2 linked regions of the Macaca mulatta genome follow. The protein of the gene in region 1 interacts with the protein of each later gene in a pairwise test. Links are inferred from orthologs where the notes say so. Each region holds a gene or a part of one and is shown on either strand. Other genes may lie near its edges.

What was found.
Region 2: the proteins of CIB3 (region 1) and ENOX2 interact in binary tests that used the Homo sapiens proteins (3 or more experiments, as listed by UniProt). The two-hybrid records come from large-scale screens. The link is inferred for Macaca mulatta from reciprocal best matches to the Homo sapiens genes CIB3 and ENOX2.

What each region holds. Positions count from the first base shown.
Region 1 is NC_133424.1:16,649,717-16,654,295, forward strand, and holds the start of CIB3 (calcium and integrin-binding family member 3), read right to left. Parts: upstream 2,805-4,579; 5' UTR 2,761-2,804; coding exon 2,710-2,760; intron 2,479-2,709; coding exon 2,444-2,478; intron 1-2,443. UniProt on the Homo sapiens protein: Acts a an auxiliary subunit of the sensory mechanoelectrical transduction (MET) channel in hair cells. Plays a role in regulating hair cell MET channel localization and function.
Region 2 is NC_133426.1:137,100,863-137,104,675, reverse strand, and holds part of ENOX2 (ecto-NOX disulfide-thiol exchanger 2), read left to right. Parts: intron 1-1,797; coding exon 1,798-1,979; intron 1,980-3,813. UniProt on the Homo sapiens protein: May be involved in cell growth. Probably acts as a terminal oxidase of plasma electron transport from cytosolic NAD(P)H via hydroquinones to acceptors at the cell surface.

The sequences.
Region 1 (4,579 bases):
TCTATAATCCACACATCTCTGGATATCGTCATGTTATCAGCAAGACCCTGCCTCCAAAGATACCTTCACTTTCATACATTCCGTTCCTCTCCTCATAATGGGAGGAAGGGGCTGGGTGCCGTGGTTCACACCTATAATCCCAGCACTTTGGGAGGCTGAAGTGGGCGGATCATCAGAGGTCAGGAATTCGAGACCAGCCTGGCCAACATGGTGAAGCCCCATCTCTACTAAAAATACAAAAAAGTAGCTGGGCATGGCGGCAGGCACCTGTAATCCCAGTTACTTGGGAGGCTGAGGCAGGAGAATCACTTGAACCCGGGAGGAGGAGGTTGCAGTGAGCCGAGATCATGCCACTGCACTCCAGCTTGGGCAACAAGAATGAGACTCCATCTCAAAAAAAAAAAAAAAAAAAAAAAAGGGGGGGGACGGTTTCCTCAAACGGGTCAGAGCAGAGGCACACAGCTAATATTCACGTTTTTCTAAAGGGCAGACAAAAGGCATTTTGCAAATAACTGAATACCACACACACTATCTAGATTGTAAGGCCAGTTCTCCACTCAGACACCCTCACCTGGTGACACCATACCTTCATTAGGGCATGCTGAGCAGCAGCCTTGCAGAGACCATCCTTGGTGGGTCTGAGGTTCCCAAGCTGCTAGGGACTCTCTCTGAGAGAGACACGAGTCCCTGGGTCATATGATGACTAGGAATTCAATGAAGGTAGGGTGGGGAGACCTAGAACTTCCCTCCTGACCACTCAGTTCCCTGTCGGGGTCCCCTCAGGGAATATCCTGGGTTTAGGTTTCTGTATGGCTCTGAGCAAGTTCCTCTCCCGCTCTGTGCCTTGGTTATTCTATCTGATAAGCAAGAAGTTTGGGACAGACGAAATGTCAGCCTTCAACCGCCTTGGGGCTCTGTGCATCTACCCTTCAGCCTGGGGTCAGCCCTACCCTGTCTGAGCCTCAGTTTCCCCATCGGTAATTTGATCATGATGGCCAAGGTGACCCTGCAAGCTGTCCTCACCCAGACAATGGGGCTCACGAGTAAAAGGTGTGGCCATCAATAATGGATGTCCTGTTACTACACAATTGGGGCCTTGGCCCCGATCACACTGCAGCCGAACCCTGGCCAGCTTGGGTTTCACAGCTCCAAGTTCATGGGCCGGGGCCCCTGGACAATGGCCCCACAGGCTGAGTGATGATATGGGATTCTCATCTGTGCCCATCGTGCTCGGTCACACCAGGGACATGCAGCAGCCTTGGGCCACCTCCCCATACCCTCACCTTAATGCCAAGCCTGCAACCCGTAGTGGGCTCTGGACTTTGCACCTGGGCTCCCAGCCTCAAGTCCCAGTCTCAGGAGAATCTTTATCTTTCATTTTGTTTTTTTGAGACGCAGTCTCATTCTGTCACCCAGGCTGGAGTGCAGCGGCGTGATCTCGGCTCACTGCAACCTCCGCCTCCCAGGTTCAAGCAATTCTCCTGCCTCAGCCTCCCGAGTAGCGGGGATTACAGGCGCCCACCACCACGCCCAGCTGATTTTTGTATTATTAGTAGAGACGGGGTTTCACCGTGTTGGCCAGGCTGATCTTAAACTCCTGACCTCAGGTGATCCACCTGCCTTGTCCTCCCAAAGTACTGGGATTACAGGCGTGAGCCACCGTGCCCAGCCTCAGGAGACTCTTTCTAACAAGCTGATGCTCTCTGCCCTGCTCATGCATGCTCCATGGCTCCCTGCCACCCTTGGGAGAAAGCCCAAGCTCATCAGCCTACAGACTGGGACAATGTGACAAGATGTGACTTCTCAGCTTTTCCATCTCTGCCTCCATGCACTGACCACACCTGCCCCCCTTCCCCATTTGAGTCCCATCAAATTGGAAATACCAGTTGGGCATGGTGGCTCACACCTGTAATTCCAGCACTTTGGAAGGCTGAGGCAGGTGGATTGCTTGAGCCCAGGGGTTTAAGAACAGCCTGGGCAACGTAGTGAGACTCCCATCTCTACGAAAAAATACAAAAATGAGGTGCACATGGCGGCTCGCACCAGTGGTCCCAGCTACTCGAGAGGCTGAGGTGGCAGGATCACCTGATCTTCGGAGATCGAGGCTGCAATGAGCCGCGATTGCACTACTGCACTCCAGCCTAGGCAATAGAGACCTATCTCAAACAAAAAAGAAAAGAAGGAAGGGAGGGAGGGAGGGAGGGAGGGAGGGAGGGGAACGAAAGAGGAAAGAAAGGGAGAAAGAGAGAAAGGGAGAAAGGGAGGAAGGGAGGAGGGGGGAAAGGAGGAAGGGAGGAAGGGAAGAAGGGAAGAAGGGAAGAAGGGAAGAAGGGAAGAAGGACCATACACACACACACACACACACCCCAAATTGCAAATATCCTCCAGCAATGAATAGAAAGTTGTTTTTCCAGATCTTTTCTCTCCACCTCCCTGGACTGACCTCATGATCTCCTTCCTTGTGAAAAACGTGCAGTCCTGTGGAGAGAGGTGTTGTCTTAACCCAAACCCTGCCTCTGGGGCCTCCTCCCATGGCCTCCTCCCTCCACCCCACACTCACACAGATGGCCCAATGCTGCCACACACAGAGCCGAACGAACCAGGAACCCAGGCAGACGGTACACCCGGATGAAGGGATTCTGTTCCCACTTCCCAGACCACGGAACCAAAGCTGTCAAACCCACTGAGGACCCCTCCTGACCCCTCTACCTGATACGCTTCCAGCTGCTCGTGTGTGAAGACTGTCTGCTTGTTGCCCATGGTGTGAACCACAGCCCAGACTCGGGGATGCACGCTGAAGGCTCCCAGCTTCCTCGGGGCCACACGGGTTGCCAGGCTGTTGTGTACCAGTGTCTGGGCAAATCTCCCTGCCCTGGCTGTCACCCGCCCACCCACACCGTCACCCCCTGCTTGGTGAGACTCAAATTACAGCCAGGCTCTCTGGACAACAGCCTGAATGTGTCCATGGGTGAGGATGAGGGCTGTGGGACATCACAGAGAAGCCCTCAGTGGGGAGGCCACATCTGCCACCACCAGGTGAGGCTGGGGTTACGGGCCACACTCAAGAGACAGGGAGGGTATGCGGAAGGGCTATGGGCACACTCCAGCTCAAATTCCAGCTCTCTGCCCACTAGCTGTGTGGCCCTGGGCAAGTCACCTGACTTCTCTGAACCTCATTCATGAGATGAAAATTACATTATACCTACCTCATATGGTCATTCTCAGGATCTGAGATTTAAAAAAAAAAAAAAGATTTTGGCTGGGTGAATTGGCTCATACCTGTAATCCCAGCACTTTGGGAGGCCGAAGCAGGTGGATCACCTGAGGTCAGGAGTTCAAGACCAGCCTGGCCAACATGGCAAAACCCCGTCTCTGCTAAAACTACAAAACTTAACCTGCTGTTGTGGTGCATGCCTGTAATCCCAGCTACTCCAGAGGCTGAGGCAGGAGAATTGCTTGAAAACGCAGGAGGCAGAGGTTGCAGTGAGCCGAGATCACACCATTGCACTCCAGCCTGGGCGACAGAGCGAGACTCCATCTCAAAAAAAAAATACGGTTTTGGTTGGGTGAGGTGGCTCATACCTGCAATCCCAGCACTTTTGGAGGCAAAGCATGAGGTTCGCTTGACGCCAGGAGTTCAAGATCAGCTTAAGCAGCATGGCAAGGCCCTGTCTCTACTAAAAATACAAAAATTAGCTGGACATGTTGGTTCATGCCTGTGGTCCCAGCTACTCGGGAGGCTGAGGTGGGAGGATTGCTTGAGCCCAGGAGTTTGAGGCTGTAGTGAGCCGTGATTGCATCACTGCACTGGGAACATGAACAAACTAGATGAAGTTCTGGGGTGTGCATTGATGTTATTATTATTATTTTATGATGTTTTATTTTTTTGAGATAGAGTCTCACTCTGTTGCCCAGGTTGGAGTGCAGTCGCATGATCTTGGCTCACTGCAATCTCTGCCTCCTGGGCTCAAGCGATTCTCCTGCCTCAGCATCCCAGGTACCTGGGACCACAGGTGTGCACAACCATGCCAAGCTAATTTTTTGTTTGTTTGTTTGTTTTGTGTTTGTGTGTGTGTGTGTGTGTTTTTTTGAGACCAAGTTTTGCTCTGTCACCCAGGCTGGAGTGCAGTGGCGCAATCTTGGCTTACTGCAAGCTCCACCTCCTGGGTTCACGCCATTCTCTTGCCTCAGCCTCCCAAGTAGCTGGGACTACAGGCACCTGCCACCAAACCTGGCTAATTTTTTTTTGTATTTTTAGTAGAGATGGGGTTGCACCGTGTTAGCCAGGATGGTCTTGATCTCCTGACCTCATGATCCTCCCGCCTTGGCCTCCCAAAGTGCTGGGATTACAAGCATGAACCACCATGCCCAGCCATTCAAGAATGACTTTTAAAAAATAAACAATATCAAGTGTTGGTGAGGGTATGGAGCAACTGGAACGCTCATACATTGCTGATGGTGATGCAAAATGGTATAGACACTCTGGAAAATAGGTTGGTTGGGCTTTTTAAATATAATTAAACTTAACCTTACCACAAGACTCAGGGCCTGGTATGGTGGCTCATGCCTGTAATCCCAG
Region 2 (3,813 bases), on another chromosome or scaffold:
TGTTAGGCTCTGCTAAAATAGTTTTTCCTGAGAGCAGGCCTTGTGAAGACCAAAATGGTCTGCAATTTCAAAATTGTTCCTTTTCCGCTTCCCCTGTCAGAAACATGAGATTTTTCTCTGATATTTACTGTGAGGAACTGGTATATTTCCTGGAGGTAAAACTTACGAATGTGTGGGAGCTCTCCAATGATTGGGTCCTCCTGGAGTGTTTGTTTGTTTGTTTTGAGACCGAGTCTTGCTCTGTCACTCAGGCTGGAGTGCAGTGGCACGATCTCAGCTCAGTGCAACCTCTGCCTCCCAGGCTCAAGCAATTCTCCTGCCTCAGCCTCCTGAGTAGCTGGGATTACAGGCACGTGCCACCACACCAAGCTAATTTCACAGACTTGTCCACACAGCCTCCAGCAATTGCTTAATTACAGCTTAGGTTTTCCTACCCAAGGACTGCGTCCCCTGGAGGTTTCTGCTCATGGGTTTTTGGTCCAGTAAATTGTGATTCTCTATATTCACCTGTCTGTATCTCCAGTTTTGTTTTGGGGGCAGCTGTTTGCCCTATAACCTCACTTCACTAACAAATATAAAAAAGAGTTGTTGATTTTTCAGGTTGTTCAGCTTTTTACTTGTTATTACGACAGAGTGGCAGCTTCTAAATGTCCTTACACGCCAGACTGGAAACTGGAAATCTTGTGTCTTAGTTTTTACATTTATCTTTCCTCTGTGGGACGAGTCAATGCTATAGTCATGTGTGTGTGTGTGTGTGTTTCAAATTGTTGGTTAACAGTTATTTGAAAAGAAGTACATGAAAACGTGCATATTAAGAAATCTTGGGCCAGGTGCGGTGGCTCACACCTGTAATCCCAGCATTTTGGGAGGCTGAGGCAGGTGGATCACAAGGTCAGGAATTCGAGACCAACCTGGCCAATATGGCAAAACCCCATCTCTACTGAAAATACAAAAAGTAACCAGGCATGGTGCAGGCACCTGTAGTCCCAGCTACTCAGGAGGCTGAGGCAGGAGAATTGCTTGAACCCAGGAGGCAGAGGTTGCAGTGAGCCAAGATGGCACCACTGCACTTCAGCCTAAGGCGACAGAGTGAGACTCTGTCAAAAAAGAAAAAAAGAAAAGAAAAGGAAAAAAAAGGAAGGAAGGAAAGAAAGAAATCTTGAAATGCAATTGCATATTCACTAACACAACTCTATCTGTGCCTCATATTTCCTTTTCCGGGCTCCCATATTTGTGTGCTCCCATAACCGTGTCCCTCAGCATTTGCTTTCCAGCCTGCTAACCTCTGGCACTACTTTGATTCTTCATTACTCCCCCTTACATTTTCAGTAAAAATAAAATGAGTGTAACTGAAGTTAGAATCTGACTCTTTATACAAAGCTATGGAGCAGCAGGAAATTCTGAGGTTAAGTTTCTCAATGCTACATTCTTTAAAAACATCGGTCAGCAACATTATTGTGTAGGCACTTGTCGGTTCAAGGGAATTGGTCCTGTATTTTATTATTACAGGGCTGTTACCATTTCCTACATTTCAAATAAAAGAAATTGATGTTACCTCAAAATATCTTAGTTATATCTGAGGTGGAGAATGAGGAATATGATGTGAACTTTTGTGTGTTGGAATCCTAGTTCATTTATAAAAGCGGGCCTGTGTGCTTTTGTGTCCATCTCTTGCTGACATGGCCAACTCAAACCTAAAGTTCTTCATCAAGAGGAAGAACCAACCTTTTTGTGGTATTCAGATGAACCACAAATGAATCTGGATATATGGTTTCATATTTTATATTGATTGTTTAGCCTTAGTATCACAGGCAGAAGCTCTGAAGGAAGAAAATGACAGCCTCCGTTGGCAGCTCGATGCCTACCGGAATGAAGTAGAACTGCTCAAGCAAGAACAAGGCAAAGCCCACAGAGAAGATGACCCAAACAAAGAACAGCAACTGAAACTCCTGCAACAAGCCCTGCAAGGAATGCAACAGGTAAAGGCATTTTGGTTTTCTGAGCTTCTGGGTAGAATAGCATCAGCTTCTCACCTGTAGAAGAGTCCCCTGCAAGCAAATCGAATATCAAACCTATTCTTCTTCTTGATGTAATATTATCTGGCATGGCTGAGGAAGGAATTATTGTTGTGGTTAATTAAATATTCCAGTTAATACAGAGATAGCAATGGATTGCCAATTTTCAAAGAATGAGCATTAAATGAAAAATATTTAACATTAGACTACACTGAACATAATCTAATCTTTTCCTTATGCTTCAGAAGGTACTTAGGGATCTAGACAGGGCCTCAGGGTCTTTACGAAGAACCTCAATTATTTAGATATGAAAAAATGCTGATGAACACATATCTAGTTGATAGAATACCAAGAAATATAGCCTTTTAAAAGGAATGGCAGGAATCTACCCTTGATTTGAGTAGAAATAGGTACATTATAGGTTTTTAAGTGTCAATGCTTTGAGCGCATAATACCAACTTGTTTTTATTTTGTTTTGTATTAACAGTCACTTATGTGAATGAGTTTACCTGTGCATAATTCAAAGTGTAAAAAGCAAAGTAAATAAATGCACCCAACTGTGATTGCATTCACAGAAGTGTAGCAGATGTTCAACATCTAGGAGTTTTATGTAACCATCACCACAGTGATTCTACAGTTTAAAAGTTATCAACAGCTGCCTTCACTATAGTAAAGGAGTAGTGCCTCTGAGTAAGGCCACTGTTGTCTTCTGTCATGCTAGACTACCAGCCATTGTCCTTATACCTTAAATTGTGCAATAGTTTTTAACTGTATGCCTTGAAATTATCTAGGGCAAAGCAAATTGCTGGTTGGAAATTACAAATCATGAACAATGGTCTATTCTGGCACTAGGAACCCTAAGTTATTCTTTCTGCCACCATTGTCTTCCTATACAACAAGTAATATGACATTAATATTTCACCTTTTCTGTTAACAAAATGTGTGAAGTAATGCTCACCTTCCTTTTACCATCACCATGGAGTTTAATTAGAACATGTAAATTATATCATAGATCTTTCTATGGAAAAAATGCACCTCCTCACCTACACTTCAAAGAATTTTGACAATGTACATTGTACCATGCTTTTTAGCCCTTCCAATGGTCTTTTGCAAGCCTCTGAAAAGCACGACTTTGGAAATATTTTTGTTGTTGCTGTTTTTCCCCTCTTTGATTTTCAAACCATTTCACATAAGGATAGTTCTGCTACTTAAATGAAATTCAAAAATGATGAAATTTTATTTTGTTTCATCACTTCAAAGACCTCAGTGAGAATTAGGTCTCTACCTCTTAAAAATAATTTCACTCGTTTTGATTATTTTGTATTGAAAAAAAAATGCCTTGTAAACGATGATAAAATTTCTCCCATCTTATCTCAAAAGATGTATAGTATAATAAGGTGTGTAAGGACATGAACTCTGGGGTTGACCCAACCTGCTTTTAAATCCCAGCTCTGCTACTGACTATCTGAATGGCATTAGGGAAGCCACTTAACCTCTCCTAGCCTTAGGGATCATAGTAACATAGGGTCATTGTGAGGCTTAATTGAGACCGTGCATATAAAACCCTTAGCACAATGCTTAGTACATATTAGGCACTCAAATAAATATTATTTGTTGAAATTATTAGTAATGAAATTATTAGTAATTAGCTAAATATAGCTTCCTGCCTACTTATATGGAAACTAACATATGTAAAATTTGGATTCTTTACTACTTTCCTCATAGAAATTGAACTTGGCTTGGCAAATGGCTATTTGCAAGAATGCTTTACAACATTACATTTACTTCTATGCAGCAA